2 linked regions of the Lytechinus pictus genome follow. The protein of the gene in region 1 purifies or fractionates together with the protein of each later gene. This does not show direct contact. Links are inferred from orthologs where the notes say so. Each region holds a gene or a part of one and is shown on either strand. Other genes may lie near its edges.

What was found. Proteins that work in one complex are often made in the same cells at the same time.
Region 2: the proteins of Golgi SNAP receptor complex member 1-like (region 1) and BET1 homolog purify together in Homo sapiens (affinity purification with mass spectrometry; 3 studies listed by BioGRID and IntAct, with this or other methods). This does not show direct contact. The link is inferred for Lytechinus pictus from reciprocal best matches to the Homo sapiens genes GOSR1 and BET1.

The regions. Positions count from the first base shown.
Region 1 is NC_087246.1:8,978,978-8,986,196, forward strand, and holds the start of Golgi SNAP receptor complex member 1-like, read right to left. Parts: upstream 3,014-7,219; 5' UTR 2,999-3,013; coding exon 2,914-2,998; intron 1-2,913. Other genes in the region: DNA oxidative demethylase ALKBH2-like, read left to right, coding at 4,230-4,586, 5,287-5,429, 5,755-6,061. UniProt on the Homo sapiens protein: Involved in transport from the ER to the Golgi apparatus as well as in intra-Golgi transport. It belongs to a super-family of proteins called t-SNAREs or soluble NSF (N-ethylmaleimide-sensitive factor) attachment protein receptor.
Region 2 is NC_087246.1:2,291,962-2,299,626, forward strand, and holds the start of BET1 homolog, read right to left. Parts: upstream 3,006-7,665; 5' UTR 2,905-3,005; intron 1-2,904. UniProt on the Homo sapiens protein: Required for vesicular transport from the ER to the Golgi complex. Functions as a SNARE involved in the docking process of ER-derived vesicles with the cis-Golgi membrane.

The sequences.
Region 1 (7,219 bases):
CATTTTGTATTGATCGAGGCAAGGATACATCTTTTCTTCATTTTACAGAGAAGCTTTAAGGGTTGTAAGAAGAAAATAGGAGTAAGGGACGAATACCCTTTTGCCATTTGATCGTTCACCAGAGTAAACAATCGAATAGTTCGAACAATTGAGATTTCTGGAATGTCAGAAATTACAAAAAGGTTGACCTACTTACATTTTCTTGGAATATGCGCAGTATAAAGAAAGATTAGAGTCTAACGAAAATAGTGGGCCATCGTTCAAGATATGTCATTTAGATCTAGACCTAAAAAAAAAAAATCTAGACCTAACACTAGATTCTAGATCTAGTAGGCCCGAATTGGGCGACATGATCATGATGATTAACGTACATGGAGGCTTGCACTAACGGACTACCGTTACCGTCGGTGAATGGGGATGATACCAGGGGGGCCAGTCAAATATATTGCTGTACACACGCGTGACCAAGGAATTTTCAAACACCCCCTAAACGAGTTTTTCTCTGTGTGCAAAATAACCCCCTAAACAAGTTTTTCGCGAGCTTTATTTACACATTTTTGGCCCCTAAACAAGTTGTCGCCAAAATATGACCTCGGGGAAAAAGCTTTGGGGAAAAAAACATGTATACCCTAAATACGTTTGAACCCGTGATTTACCATTGACCAGTCTTTCAAACAACCCTTTTTCTTGAAAATTGGTGTATTCGATACCCTTATTAAAAGGAAAATGAAAGGATAGATTTATTATCTGGTCATAAGCCAATTACACTTCACTAATTAAAATAAAATTAAAATGAGGCAGAACGGTTTCCTATTTCCCATGATATGCCAACTCAAAGTTATCAATATTTTGATATTCGAAAGACCCGTGGAGGTCGCCATTTTGCTCATACTCCCCATATCTCCGTGGGGGGTTGTGACGTCAGCGACGTACACCTCAGTGTCCAACCCCGGCGAGCGCCTGTGATTGCTGGCGTAAAACAATGCTGATCAGGATGGTATACTGCCAAGCGTATGGCTGCTGAAATCGGTCAGAAAAGGGGACAAAATGCATCTAGCTTTTACCTAATTCACGATCCGCAGAAGCTGAGGCCAGAAATCTCCCTAAATAAAAATTGGGTGGCTGCTGCTGACCGTGCGCCAACGTGCCTCTAGGCTCTACTCTATAATACCTCTAAGTTAGCTCTGCTCGTTGAGCGATTTCTTCGGCCGAGTAGATCTATTTGTGGCTCGAAGTCGTAGGCTCTCGGCCATCCTTTTCAATACAAACGTCCGCGATATGTTTTGTTTTATTTAAAATCGACGGTAACAAATAATAAACAACGTTAGATATATAGAAATATAACACAACAATTTCCCGATATTCAAACGGGATAAATAACCAAACTTCCAACATAACACGATCACTCGGTTCAGGGTACATGACGGTCCGGACAGTACGTACAAATTTAGCTTTGTCAAATTTGCCAATTTGGATATCGTGAATAAATTTGTAAAAATTTTCATCAAAACTCATCAATTTGTGTTTTTAATCCATAAAATAATTTAAATAGCTTTTTAATATTATTTCTAAGTGTTTTATGTGTATATTTTATTTATTTCTGGTAAAAAAAGTATCTATATTATGCAAACTTGGGGGCAGTTTCAGCCTGTATAGCTAGCTATGCGTTATGCACATGGAAGTACCGATACTACCGAGAGCAGTTGTACGTCGCTGACGTCACAATTTTGAACAAACCCCACAACAATGGCGATCTCCATTCAGAGACTTCGAACCTGAAGAAGCCCAACTTTGAAGAGGTGGTACTCGATACTGGGAAATCAGATTGGGGTATAAGTGGATTCATTTTGATTGGCATGTACTTATCAATGATATTATGTGGTATTCAATTTTGGGTTTCATTCTCCTTTAACGCGTTTTTTGGTCACGCGTGTGTACAGTAATATATTTGACTGGCCCCCCGGGGGATGATAGTATGGCCATACTTCGCGGAAGGTCATTATCTCAAAGACTAGCCGATATCCTTAAAATCTGACATCATCAACATAAAAAGCGACCTAAAATTACCCTTTGGCGTAAGTTTTGTTAGGATAAGTTGAGTATTCATGAAAAGATTGGGAAATTTGTCACCGTTAGCGCCCGTTCCGAAGAAATCTGATATCCTCAACAAGCATCATGAATTCATGATATCATTTTGCAAGCAGATATCATAAAAATGTGAGTTCAATCAATGTGGAACTCACTGATTCTTTTAGCATTTTGTCGTCAATCTGATATAAAATTCTACCTTTTTGAGCTTGATTTTTTGTTTGAATCTCCACAAAAACTTTGGTCCGCTAAGTGAGGTCATACTTTTTTCAGAACGGTTTCCCAGCACAGCTTGCATTCATCGATCGGAATAGAATTTTTGGATCGCGATACCGGCGAAACTCCATGAACTACTTCACATTTTCGTCAATGATTTTATATCATAATTTACAATCTTGCCGTCACCCGTCAATGTGGTAACTATTTCGTTGAATTGGTTTTGTATACTTTACTTGTGAATATTTTGTAAAAAAAAAAAAAAAAAAAAAAAAACGCGACGCTCGCGTCCGTAACGTTGGGGAAGTACAATAAGAAACAAGATGGCGGCGTAAACATCGGGCAAGTCTCTTCCGTTTTTTCACAATGTTTTTCTCATTTTTTTAATGAATTCTTGTTTAAAAATAACAACGAGAGCGTAGAAATGTCGGAAATGAAGTTTTATCCCAACAACATGATTTAGAGCTAGATATTTTAGTTAAGGAAAGTAGAAATCTCGGGGGTGAAAGTTTCAGGTTTTGGGCAAAATTTGGGGTCCTTCGTGTAGGTGAATAGGGAGGACTCCCTGGCTTCATTTAGAGTAAGCCTACGTTAGTAAATGATTTTTACTCTCAAGAAGCCGCCTGGCTACGGCCGGCCACGCACGCGCCACGACGGCAGCGCTAGCGGAGCCTCCGTCACACACCACTGTCATGACATGACTATCTCAAGACTCAACTGTTACACACCAACACGGGCAGCACCACCTTCGTTCGTCGACTCACTTCGACTTGTTATCGTATCCGAGTCGTACATGTTTAATTTCTCACCTTCCCATTGATTTCCTTGAGACATGTTTCGCATTTTCCTCTTACTCAATCCAAGGATAATACGTACAGTAAATACTTGCAGTTCAATTTGGCTGAAAATTAGAAAAATTGAATATCAAAATCGTCACCGTTCGACTACGTGGAAGCTCAGTCAACATAAACAATGAAGATATCGGCACTATTTAATTCGCGCAGGAGTGAATCGTTTTGCCAATCTTGCAAGGCAATATTTAAAAAAAAATCAATAGTTTTGAAATTATCATATGGTTCGAATTATTTTCTCCTTAAATAATTTGTTTTAATATTATGCATTAAAAATGATTTTTTCATTATGTGTTTTGAATCAAATATTTTTATTTAAATAAAATAATGATGTGCTCACTCGTAAATATATCTAAATCTTTCTTGCCGAAATATTTCGTTAGTATATTCAGAAAACAATGTTTATTGCATAATAGTTGTTATGCTCCAATATGGAAGTGAGTGGAACTGGAAAGTGGAAACAGCTTATGGTTTAGTCACTGAGAATTTTGAGGAGCGAGCTTCATTAGACTAGAGATATATGCACACTGTTTGAGAATTTGAGAAGAAAGATAGACTATTTGGATTGTACTCTCAAATAATTAACTTTGCTCGGCTACCCCTCAGGGCCCAGACTTAACTTACATGACTTAAGTCTTAAAAAGACTACATTATAGTACAACATCCTGCTGTCGAGCTGTCCTGTCTATATTTCATTCATTTCAATGGTGATATCACTCCAACCCGGGACAAGTCAGTCCAACATTAGATTTGGATTGGAACGAATATAAACAGAAGCAGAAAATATTGGTCTAGATATAAAGTTCGAGTTGTACTTGTAGGCTATCAGATCAAAATATTACTTAGCATGGTTTAATATTTCTGCTCTGCATCTACACAGATCAGTTCTTTGCATTGTGACAGTTTCCATCATGCATATAATTATAATACCCCAAGTTGCCTACCCTCTTTGCTTACTCAAGATGTCCAATATAGAATATGACAGGCAGAGATCTAATTTCTTTTTTCCCTCCCACAGGAAACAAGAGGCTGGCAATATGCTGAGTTGAATTGACACAGCTCAGATTATAAATTATGGATAAGTATATCACCAGAAAAAAGAAAGTCAAGAAACCTGCAGAGATAGGATTGGCTTCAGGTAGCCAACATGATCATGATGGAGAAAAGGATGAAAAGAACGAACCTACATCTAAACGGTTGAGAATTGATAGCAAGACTGAATCTTCAGAAATAGATCTTAGGATGCTCCAGCATATCCCACAAAAGAAAAAAATATCCCGAGAGAATCTTGACTGTGATTACTTGCATCTGTATTCAAAGAAAGAGGCAGATATTCTGTTCCAACGTTGCGAGGAGTCTCTAGATTATTTTACGGGTGATCTTGCAAGGATTAAAGTTTATGGAAAGTGGCATGATATTCCAAGAAAACAGGTAAGTTTTAAAAGTTAGCCTTTATCATATGACTTTAATACCTTTTAAATAGCTGAACGTCTAGTTTGCATTCTGTTATAAACCAATTATCAATATACAAGAAAATGTTTGAACAAGTTGTGAACCTGTGATCAATTCAATTTCAAAAATGATATAAAAAGTTTTCATTAAATTTATATTACAGTATCAATGGAAAAGAGTGATGTTCAGTTTTGTCCTATTTATCAATCATTTTCTAACCCTATAATTATCTTGTTTTTCTATGTTGCCTGCTCATTTTCTGATACAATGATTTTTTTTCCATGTGGTGATATATTCTTACATTCCAAAGATGTTAATGTGTTCTCAACTTAGAACATCTTTTTCCCCCCTCACCCCTCACATGCAATGATCTGGTATGCATTGTAGCCTTTTACATTACACAAATTAGGAGGCATGTTTTAGCATTATTCATTTAAAACCAAAGCAGCAGTAGTGCCTGTAGTGGAACATATTGTCATACAGTGATGACTGCCTATTAAAAAGTAAAATAAGAAGTTCAGTTTTTGTGGGTGTTCTTTTACTTAGAAAGACTCAGTCATTGTCCCCTGACAAGAGTTTGTTTCTCCATAATCTACTTGAAAGCTTTGCTTTGGGTGCTAATTATTAAAAATTAAGTTGATCAATTCAGAATATTCGCTTTTATTCTGAATCTGTGCAGGTAGCACATGGTGATGCAGGTGTAACATACAAATATTCTGGAGTGACTGTTCCAGCTAAACCATGGATACCACTGTTATTAGAAATTAGGGATAGGATTCAAGAGGTTACAGGGTTCAAATTTAACTTTGTTCTCATCAACAGGTAAGGTTTGATTCAATTCTTAATTATAATTGTATTTTTCTCTCTCTCCCTGTGTATGTCTCTCCCTACTTCTATCTCTTTATTTTGTCTTATTATTAACATTGTTCAGTGTACTAAAGTCACACCCTCTCCCCTCTCTGTCTTCTCTCCCACTTTTATATGGTATGTAGCCATTTTTATTTTCTATCATTTCATCTACCATTTAACAGGAATAGTTGACTTGGTAGGCAGATTGTAATACATCATTTATATATGAAAAATTAGTTTAAAAATATCTCAAACATTTGACCAAGACACTAATTTCTGTCATATTGTCTACATCTAGGTATGCCGATGGAAATAACTACATGGGTGAACATCGGGATGACGAGAAAGACTTGGTTTCAACTAGTCCTATAGCGTCCCTGTCTCTTGGACAGAACCGTGACTTCATCTTCAGGCACTGTGAGGCCCGAGGATCTCAGGCCAAACGAAAGATACCACCAGTCAAAGTGGAGCTAGAACATGGGAGTTTACTCATGATGAATTATCCTACTAATGTTTACTGGTACCATTCGCTGCCTGTCAGGAAGAAAGCTTTGAATACCAGAGTTAATATGACATTCAGAGATATTGTAACTGTCAAGAAGTGACCAGTGAGAGGACTTTTTGGGAAATAGGTTACAGCCAAAGTGATTTTGTATGTTTGTCTTCTTACCACTAAGATTTAATTGCCCAATTAGAATCTTCTGTTACAATGACATATTCAAAAAATATAATCGATCTTCCATTCCATTCCAGTTTTGGTAGATTGTTTGCCAAAAGATAATGCTTGATATCACTAAGAAGATTGTGTTTTGTATACACAGTGTTCGTTTAGAATAAGGTAGAAGACTAGAACCAGAGTTCACTTCATCTTCAGATACATTTATCAGCACACAAGACCTTATTGTTGGACAGTGAATATCAAAAAGTAATTTCTGACCTTGGATAATTGATTAATTTTGAATAATGATGTTGTATAAAAAAAATCTAGAAGTCAACATTTCAAATTGTTAATTACATCTAGAGACATACATCCAAAACAAATCCTGATTATGTCCTCATGAGTATTTTTTTTTTCTTTTAAAGGAAGGTGGCTACACTTTTTTCATCAGGTGGGACTAGATATAGGGAAAGAGGATCCACAAAACATTGTGCTCCCTCCCTAACTCCCATCTTACTGAGATATACACATAACAAGAGTAGATTTAATCCTAAAATGTAGGTGAATTGACAAAGCACTCCATTGTCTGATAAAAGCCAAAATATGATTACAGTGTAATGTACTAACTGCTAGAACTTGATGTCATGACCAACTAAACATAATGGTCTGATTGTAACTTTCAAATTAATAAAGGATTGTTCAAATACTATGTATTGGACACCATATTTACTTTGTTTGCACAGTAGTTACCTTTCATGTAACTTATGAATACACATGATTTTCATATATCAATACAAATTCTTAACTGCCCTAGGGCAATTTATCAAAATGATTCAAGTCTTATTACGAAATCACATTTAAATTCCAGTTGAGTGTCTTATAACATATTACTGCCGCAGTCTCAGTCATATCATGCTGAGGGGATGGGTGCAATCGCATATTGATCAAATATCATTACAGATTTACTATCATGTGCAATTTGGCAACTTAGGCATGACTTTTATTCAGATTTAAAACTTTGTGATACATGTCCAGGGGGGTGTTTCACAAAGATTTAAGTATGAGAGTCACACTTAAATGTAGCCTGATGCGTACGTGATATGCA
Region 2 (7,665 bases), about 6.7 Mb from region 1:
TAATGGGATGGGAGTGATGCCTGTGTATGGCCGCGATGTTTCATCTATTTTTTAAGTTTGACAATGTTTCACTTTGAAATTTTATTCATTTCTAAAACATTTTACTTTTTTTATTTGAAATATATAAAAAAAAAAAAAAAAAAATCCTTCTCCCTTCCTCTCCTTTTTCTTTTCCTTCTTTCTCTCCTTCCATTATTTTCTTTTTTCATACTATTCTCCCTCTTTTTCATCCTTTCTTTCATTCTTTATTTTATTTTTCCTTCTAATTCTTTTCCATTATTCTTTCTTTCCCTTCCTTTCTTCCTTTCTTCCTTCCTCCATTCCTGTTTTTCTTCTTTCTTTTTTTCTTTCAAAGAATGAAGGAAACCGTTTTATTTCTTTCATTCTTTCTTTCCTCCTCCTTTTTTCTTACTTTTTTTTTCCTTTCTCTCCTTTACTTTTTCTTTCACACATTTATTCATCTTTCCTTCATTTCTTTTTCTTTTTCTTTCTATCTATATTCATTTCAAAGAATGATGGAAACCTTTTTTCTCTCTTTTATTCTTTCTTCCATTCTTCTTTTATTCTAACCTTTCTTTTAAATTTTCTCCATTTCCCCCTTCATTTTGTTTTTCTTCTCAATTCATCTCTTTTCTTTCGTCTTTTCTTTCTCCCCTTCATTCTTTTGTTCACCCTCCCTTCCAATTCTTTATATTTTTTTCACAAGTGAAGTCTAACACTGTGTAGCCTTCTTTGTTCATCTTTTTTTTAACAAAGCAGGCCTCTACAAAAAAGAATTTCATCACTTGCCCATGTCGGGCAAGTGATAAAAAATTTGCTTGCCCGATAGAAAAAACTGCTTGCCCGATATTTTTCAAAAATTCTTTAGCTCTTAATTATTCTTTTCTGTCCTGGTTGAACTTGATTTACTGGCGCTGGCCTCGGCATTTCTTTTTCTTGACTCTTGTTCAAGTTGTTCTGGTCGCCGATCGCGACAACAAAAGTCACCTATTTTAGTCTGACGACTCATTGTTTATTTGGTTTGAAGTTGATGCCGAGTCCTGGCCGAGTCAGTCCGAAGCTTGCATGCATTCAGCGCGATCTAGCTCGAGAGTCGGCTGGCTCGCGATCGCTCGTGTACGTACGTACATGTACTGTAGCGCCGATGTATTAGAGCATGCGCTAAGAGGGCGAGAGAGGGGTTTCCCCAGCTAGCTCCTTCGTCAATTAGTAGCGCATGCGCACAGTATAGTTTAGAAATAAAGATGGCAGCCCCCATCGAACAGGACCGCTGGCGATAAATTTTCGGTAAATTGGCGCTGATTTGACATGTTCCCACTGTTTTTTTACTGGTATGACATTTTGTATGACTATGAGAGATAATTGGCCGATAATTGCAATTTATCGAAAAATTATTAAAATTTACTGTAATATCGTTTTCATTTTCAAAACAACCACTTGCCCGATCGGGCAATTGACTTTGATAAATGCTTGCCCGCAGGTCATTTTCACTTCCCCCAGGCAAGCGGTTTTGTCGCGCCCTGTTAAAGGTCAAGTCCACCCCAGAAAAATGTTGATTTGAATAAATAGAGAAAAATCAAACTAGCATAATGCTGAAAATTTCATCAAAATCGGATGTAGAATAAGAAAGTTATGGAATTTTAAAGTTTCCTTTATTTTTCACAGAACAGTGATAATTGATATGCACAACTCAGTGACATGCAGATGAGTCGGTCGATGATGTCAATCACTCACTTTTTATTTTGTTTTTATTGTTTGAATTATACAATATTTCATATTTTACAGATTTCACAATAAGGGCCAACTTGACTGAACCATTAAACAATGCTAATTCCACATGTTCAGGGAGGAATTAATCGTTGTTTCACTTGACAATGAGGGGAAAATTAGAATATTTCATATTTCAAATAATAAAATACAAAAGAAATAGTGAGTAGATGACGTCATCAGTCTCCTCATTTGCATTCCGACCAGGATGTGCATACATGTATAACTGTTTTGTGAAATTAAGCGAAACTTTAAAATGTCATAACTTTCTTATGTTAAATCTGATTTTGAAGAAATTTTCAGTGTTATGCTTGTTGGATTTTTCTCTTTTTATTAAAATCAACTTTTTGTTGGGGTGGACTTGTCCTTTAAGACCTGGCTCGGTCCACCCGCTCGTGCAGCGTGCTTTGTCGATTGTCCCGTATTTCATTTTGTGAAATCTGGTCACCCTGACAGAGACAGAAGTTCTATATACCTAGGCTACTTCTAACTTGATCTGCAACGTTACAGGAACTCTGGCCATATTAAGTTCGGACAAACCAAGAAAGTGGGAGTTGCGCGACAGCCGAAGTAAATCACTGTTTTTGTCCTTTTAAGTTTATTTTTTTCCCGTTTTGGTGCATTTCAGGCCAAAACAGAAAAATAATCTTTATTTTGGTCCAGTTGAATTCTTCTTATTTCTTATATTTTTTAATGAAATAAAGACAAAATATAACTAGGGCCCAAGTAAAAAATCGATGAGCACATTGATCGGGGGGATTTTGCATTGTTAACCTGCATGATCCGAGCCGTCTGCATATGACTCATTATGAGAAATTTTTAAAAATGTTTAAAAGACTCCTCGAAACAGACGTCTGCCAGCTGTCTACATACACACGAACCATCGCCTGAGGTGCCCGCCGGCCAGCGCCCACTGCGCTGCCGCCGCGCCACGGCTCAGTTGTGGCGCATTGCCACATCAGACACAGCCAGGACAGATCAGTCACTGCGCATCAGCTCAGTCTCCGACTCAAGTGTCCACGGCTCAAACAAAGCTCTACAAAACTTAAAACCTCACTGTCAAGTGTCAGCCAACACATCAATCTATAATATTAGTCAAGAGCTACAATATTATACCGATTGTATAGTTCTACTTACAAACATCCGCCTCCTGGCTGCAATCAAAATACGAAATTCCCTTTTATTTTCGCCAACCAAATTGAATAACACGTAGCAGAAATAATTGAACGTAGCCGATTATTTATTACCAGTAATACCGTACTATAGCAAAGTTATACATAATCGGGGAAAAAAACTTGAACATAGTAGACAAGAATTCCTATTTTTTCCCTCTCTCCTCACCAGCAATCCATTTGTTGATTCAATTATGCAGATAATTTGATTGTTTCTGATACTATTATTAACCGAAAATTGGGTGTTTGAAAATGTCCTCTCCTAATTCTGTATTTTTATGTATAACAGTTCGATCTAGTTAGAAATTAATTAATAATGTTTTGTCTACAAAGCTAACACTTGTAACTGAAAAAAGGGGACGTCCCTGTTAAAAACCCTTTTTAATTTTTCTTTGAGAAAGTGACATTCGACTGACTTTTCATAATTCTTGATACATGTGAAGATGCTCACATGTGATGTCAAAAATAAAAAATTAAAATGCTCATAGAATTTAAGGGTAAAAGAAAGTAGTTGAAGCAAACAATTATTTAATGAAAAAGTCTGAAGGTTAATTGTTAAAATATTACCTTATCATACATCGAGATCTGGTACATTGATATAACTTATCTTTGTGAAATCATGAAGTTTTAGCTGAAAACCGATAATTTTTACCATCAAGCCATAACAGTGTATTAATATTGCTTGGAAAAATAACTGACATTTTATGAAATTCCATGCTTATTTTGCTCATTTCTCAGCCAGGGGCGGATCCAGCTTTTTATAAAGGGGGGGTTGGGGTGGTATGCGAGGGAGCGTAGCGACCGAGTCCAAGCGAGCGGAGCGAGCGAGGGGGGAGGGTGTGGGAGGGGGGTGTCCCCCCTCCCACAGTAGGGAAAATTTTTGAAAATCTGTGTGTGAAAATGGCGTTTTCTAAAATTACAAGTTTAAAAAAAAAGATAAGATTTAAAAAAATGGTCCCCGGATTTTTTTTTTTTTGGGGGGGTTGCAACCCCCCCAACCCCCCCTCTAGATCCGCTTCTGTCAGCAATTACGCATTTTCTTCCAGAGATATTTGGAACATCTTTTTTCATTATAGGACCTACATACAAACACTTTGGTGATAATTTTATTGGATTCTGTTCGAACTGATTTTGAGATCGTTACCACAACTGGTATTCATCTCTAAATCTCTGATGGATTTTCCTCAAACCTCCAACAATATTTTCTGTTGTGCTTTGTGTTATTTTTACAATAAAATTTTTGTCAGGGTGAACTTCCCCTTTAAAGTGTCCACTTTGCCCACACGCATCCACTTATTTTAGTTATACCGAGGTTTTTTACCTGACTGCTAAGAAAGCATGAATGCCTGTGAGCAAGCAACCAGGGGACCAATGGCTTAAGGTCCTCTCCGAGGGACTTGGTAATGAGGATAAATGCCTTACCAAAGGGCACTAGCGCACCACTTGGGAATCGAACCCGGGTCACCAAAATTCGAAACCCCCGCTCTACCGACTGAGCTATCGCGCCATGTAGTTCATGTTCCTATGTTGCCAAATCCATTTCTGTCCAAAGCGTCCTCTCCAAAAAATGAATCGATGGAATATGTAATTAAAAGATTTATCTCCTATAACTAGAGAAATAATTGTGTGACCTTTTGCTTCACAATTTAAATATTATTTTACAGAGCAACCTGCAAAGAAAATGATTGAAATACAAGTTTACTTTTCTATATATTACCTTTAGCAGGCATTTTAGGGCCAAAATTACTCTCATTTAGTTTAATTTTCCCTTATTTCGAGCCTGCACATTCTATTTTTAGAAATAATCAGGCATTGTTTTGCCAATCAAACCTTATTCAAAAATGAAAAATGAAATTCCCCCAAAGATGTTGAAATTTTTTGGTGACTATTAACCAAAAATGGGGTGCAAATTCTATCCAAAAATGTTTTCTAGCTCTGAATTAGATATTTTTACACATAGTCATGAATCAATTACGAATGCTTTTGTCTATGCAGTGAAACCTGTCATAGTGACACCCAAGGGAAACACAAAATGTGGCCTTTATGGACAGGAGGTTGCTATAGACAGATAACAGGTTCTCATAAACACAATCTGCCTTCAAGGGAATAAGCAGGGGGTTGCTATAGAGAGGTTCTTATAATAAACACAATCTGCCTAAAGGGAATCAGTTTTAGTGGTCACTATAGGCAGGGGGTTGCTATAGACAGTTTCTTATACACACAATTGCTTTCAAGGTAATAAGCAGGGGGTTGCTATAGACAGGTTCTTATACAATTGCTTTCAAGGTAATAAGCAGGGGTTGCAATAGACAGGTTCTTATACACACAATTGCCTTCGAATCAGTTTTAGTGGTCACTATAAGCAGGGGGTTGCTATAGACAGGTTCTTATACACACAATCTGCCTTCAAGGGAATAAGCAGGGGGTTGCTAGAGAGAGATTCTTACATACACAATCTGCCTCCAAGGGAATCAGTTTTAGTGGTCACTATAAGCACGGGTTGCTGTAGACAGGTTCTTATACACACAATTGTCTCTAAGGGAATCAGTTTTAGTGGTCACTATAAGCAGGGGTTGCTATAGATAGGTTCTTATACACACAATATGCCTTCAAGGGAATAAGCAGGGGATTGCTATAGACGGGTTCTTACACCCACAATCTGCCTCTATGGGAACTGGCTTTAGTGGACACTCTAGTCATCAGGCAGGTGGCTGCTATAGACAGGTGGCCACTAATGCAGGTTTGGCTGTTTATACAACAAACTTAGAATGTTGCCCACATCCACTTACTTCTCAAAAAAAAAAAAAAAGCAAATGTCAGCACATGAAATTACATGACTGAATCTTTATAGAAATAATATGCCTCAAAATTTCAAAGAAATATCATTTCACTTGTTTATAACACACACATGCACAAAAGAAAATCAAATGCGACAGTTGGGTTACCTTGATTGTAAAATTACCCATCACTCACTTTCATTCATGTTGGATTGATTTCGGGCTAGATTTTTTCCTTAATTTTTTTTTCATTAAAAAAACTAATTAAATACCATCTGAATGACACTTATAAATGTTGAATTAAAACATGCCAACCAAGATGACTGTAGTCTCAACAAAAAGTCATGTAAAACAGTATTATTATTATACATATACCTACATTTATTTTATTCTTTCATTTTCACACACTGGAATCAATAATTTTCAAGTATCTAATGTTATATTCATAAGTTATCATTAGTTATTCAATACAGGCAATTCCATTATAGTGCACAGTAGACACAATGCTCATCCACAGTAGCATACAAATACTGAGAGTTGTTTATCACCGTGGGGCGATGTACTTTGAAATGTATCATAACCAAATCAGGAATAAAATGTATACTTTAAAAAGCCTTGTGTGTATGGTGCATAGAAAGGGTATATATTTCATCCTAACATGAAAACATATATTTTAGACATTATTTAGGCTAACGAAAGCATGACAAAATACATGATTTGGGTACTTTGAAAATCAAAGTAAGATTATTTATGGTACTTTTTTAAAATGCATATATATCTTGTAATTATAATAGCACCTAGTCCCCTCCCCTCCCCTGTAAACGTGCATAAAAAGTAAATTCTATGATTTTCATATGTATATATGCTTTAACTTAAAAGTAGTTTGTCATCATCATCATCACCATCACTATAACCACCAACACCATCATCATCATCATCATCACCACCACCACCATCATCATCATTATCATAATCATCATAACACTTTTTTACTAGAAGGACATTCAAGTGTGTCTAGAAAGAGGGAGCACAACTCCCCGTCTCCTTGCATATTGTGAAATGTGACATTGATCTTAATTCTAGAACTAGAAAAACCAATTAAAGTTTCTATGGAAAATTCGTCAGTGATTTTACAAACTGGCTCAAACCTCAGCTGGTCTCCAAAACATGATTTCCAGATAATTGCATTCAAAGTTTCGATGTTTTTCAGAAGCTCATAACTTTGCGCTTTGAAAGAAACCAGATCAATTATTTATAACAATTTAAAGCATACAGTCTATTCTTTTGTAATATACAAAATTTTGTTTGCAATTCTTATTTATTCTTTCAATATTTAAAAAGGAAGCGCTTGTATGCATTTCAGGAGCTGCTAATTCTTACCCAAAACAGGGGGTTTGAGCCAGTTCGTAAAATAACGCGCACCATGCCCACTGCTGTTTAGCGGCACAAACCACGGTTTGAGCCAGCTTGTAAAATCATTCATGCCATGCGTATGTTTTTTTTAGAGGCACAAACCCTGCGCAAAGCACATACGCACCGGCATAAGCGCCGCATCTAGGTCGGTCTTTGACCTGTGCGCACCATTCCAGAGACTTTATAGTACACAAAGAATGGTTTGAGCAAGTTCATAAAATCAAAGGAGGTTGAGCCGGTACGTACAAATATTAAATATGCCCTTTTTTTTAAATAATACAAATTTTTATCTGAAATTTGGCAAATCAATAGATTAAATCACAGGCTTTCAGAATATGCAAAAAAATAAATTTCAAAAATTTGGCCGAAATTAGGTTTGCGCCAGTTCGTAAAATCACTGACGAAATGTACTTTCAGTGGTTTTTGTAAGACATATCTGACAGCAGGTCATTGATTAACTACAGAAATAAAATTCAAATTTCCTTATCTAATAATTAAATTAAATAATAAAATTTAAATCAATATGAAATGCAAGT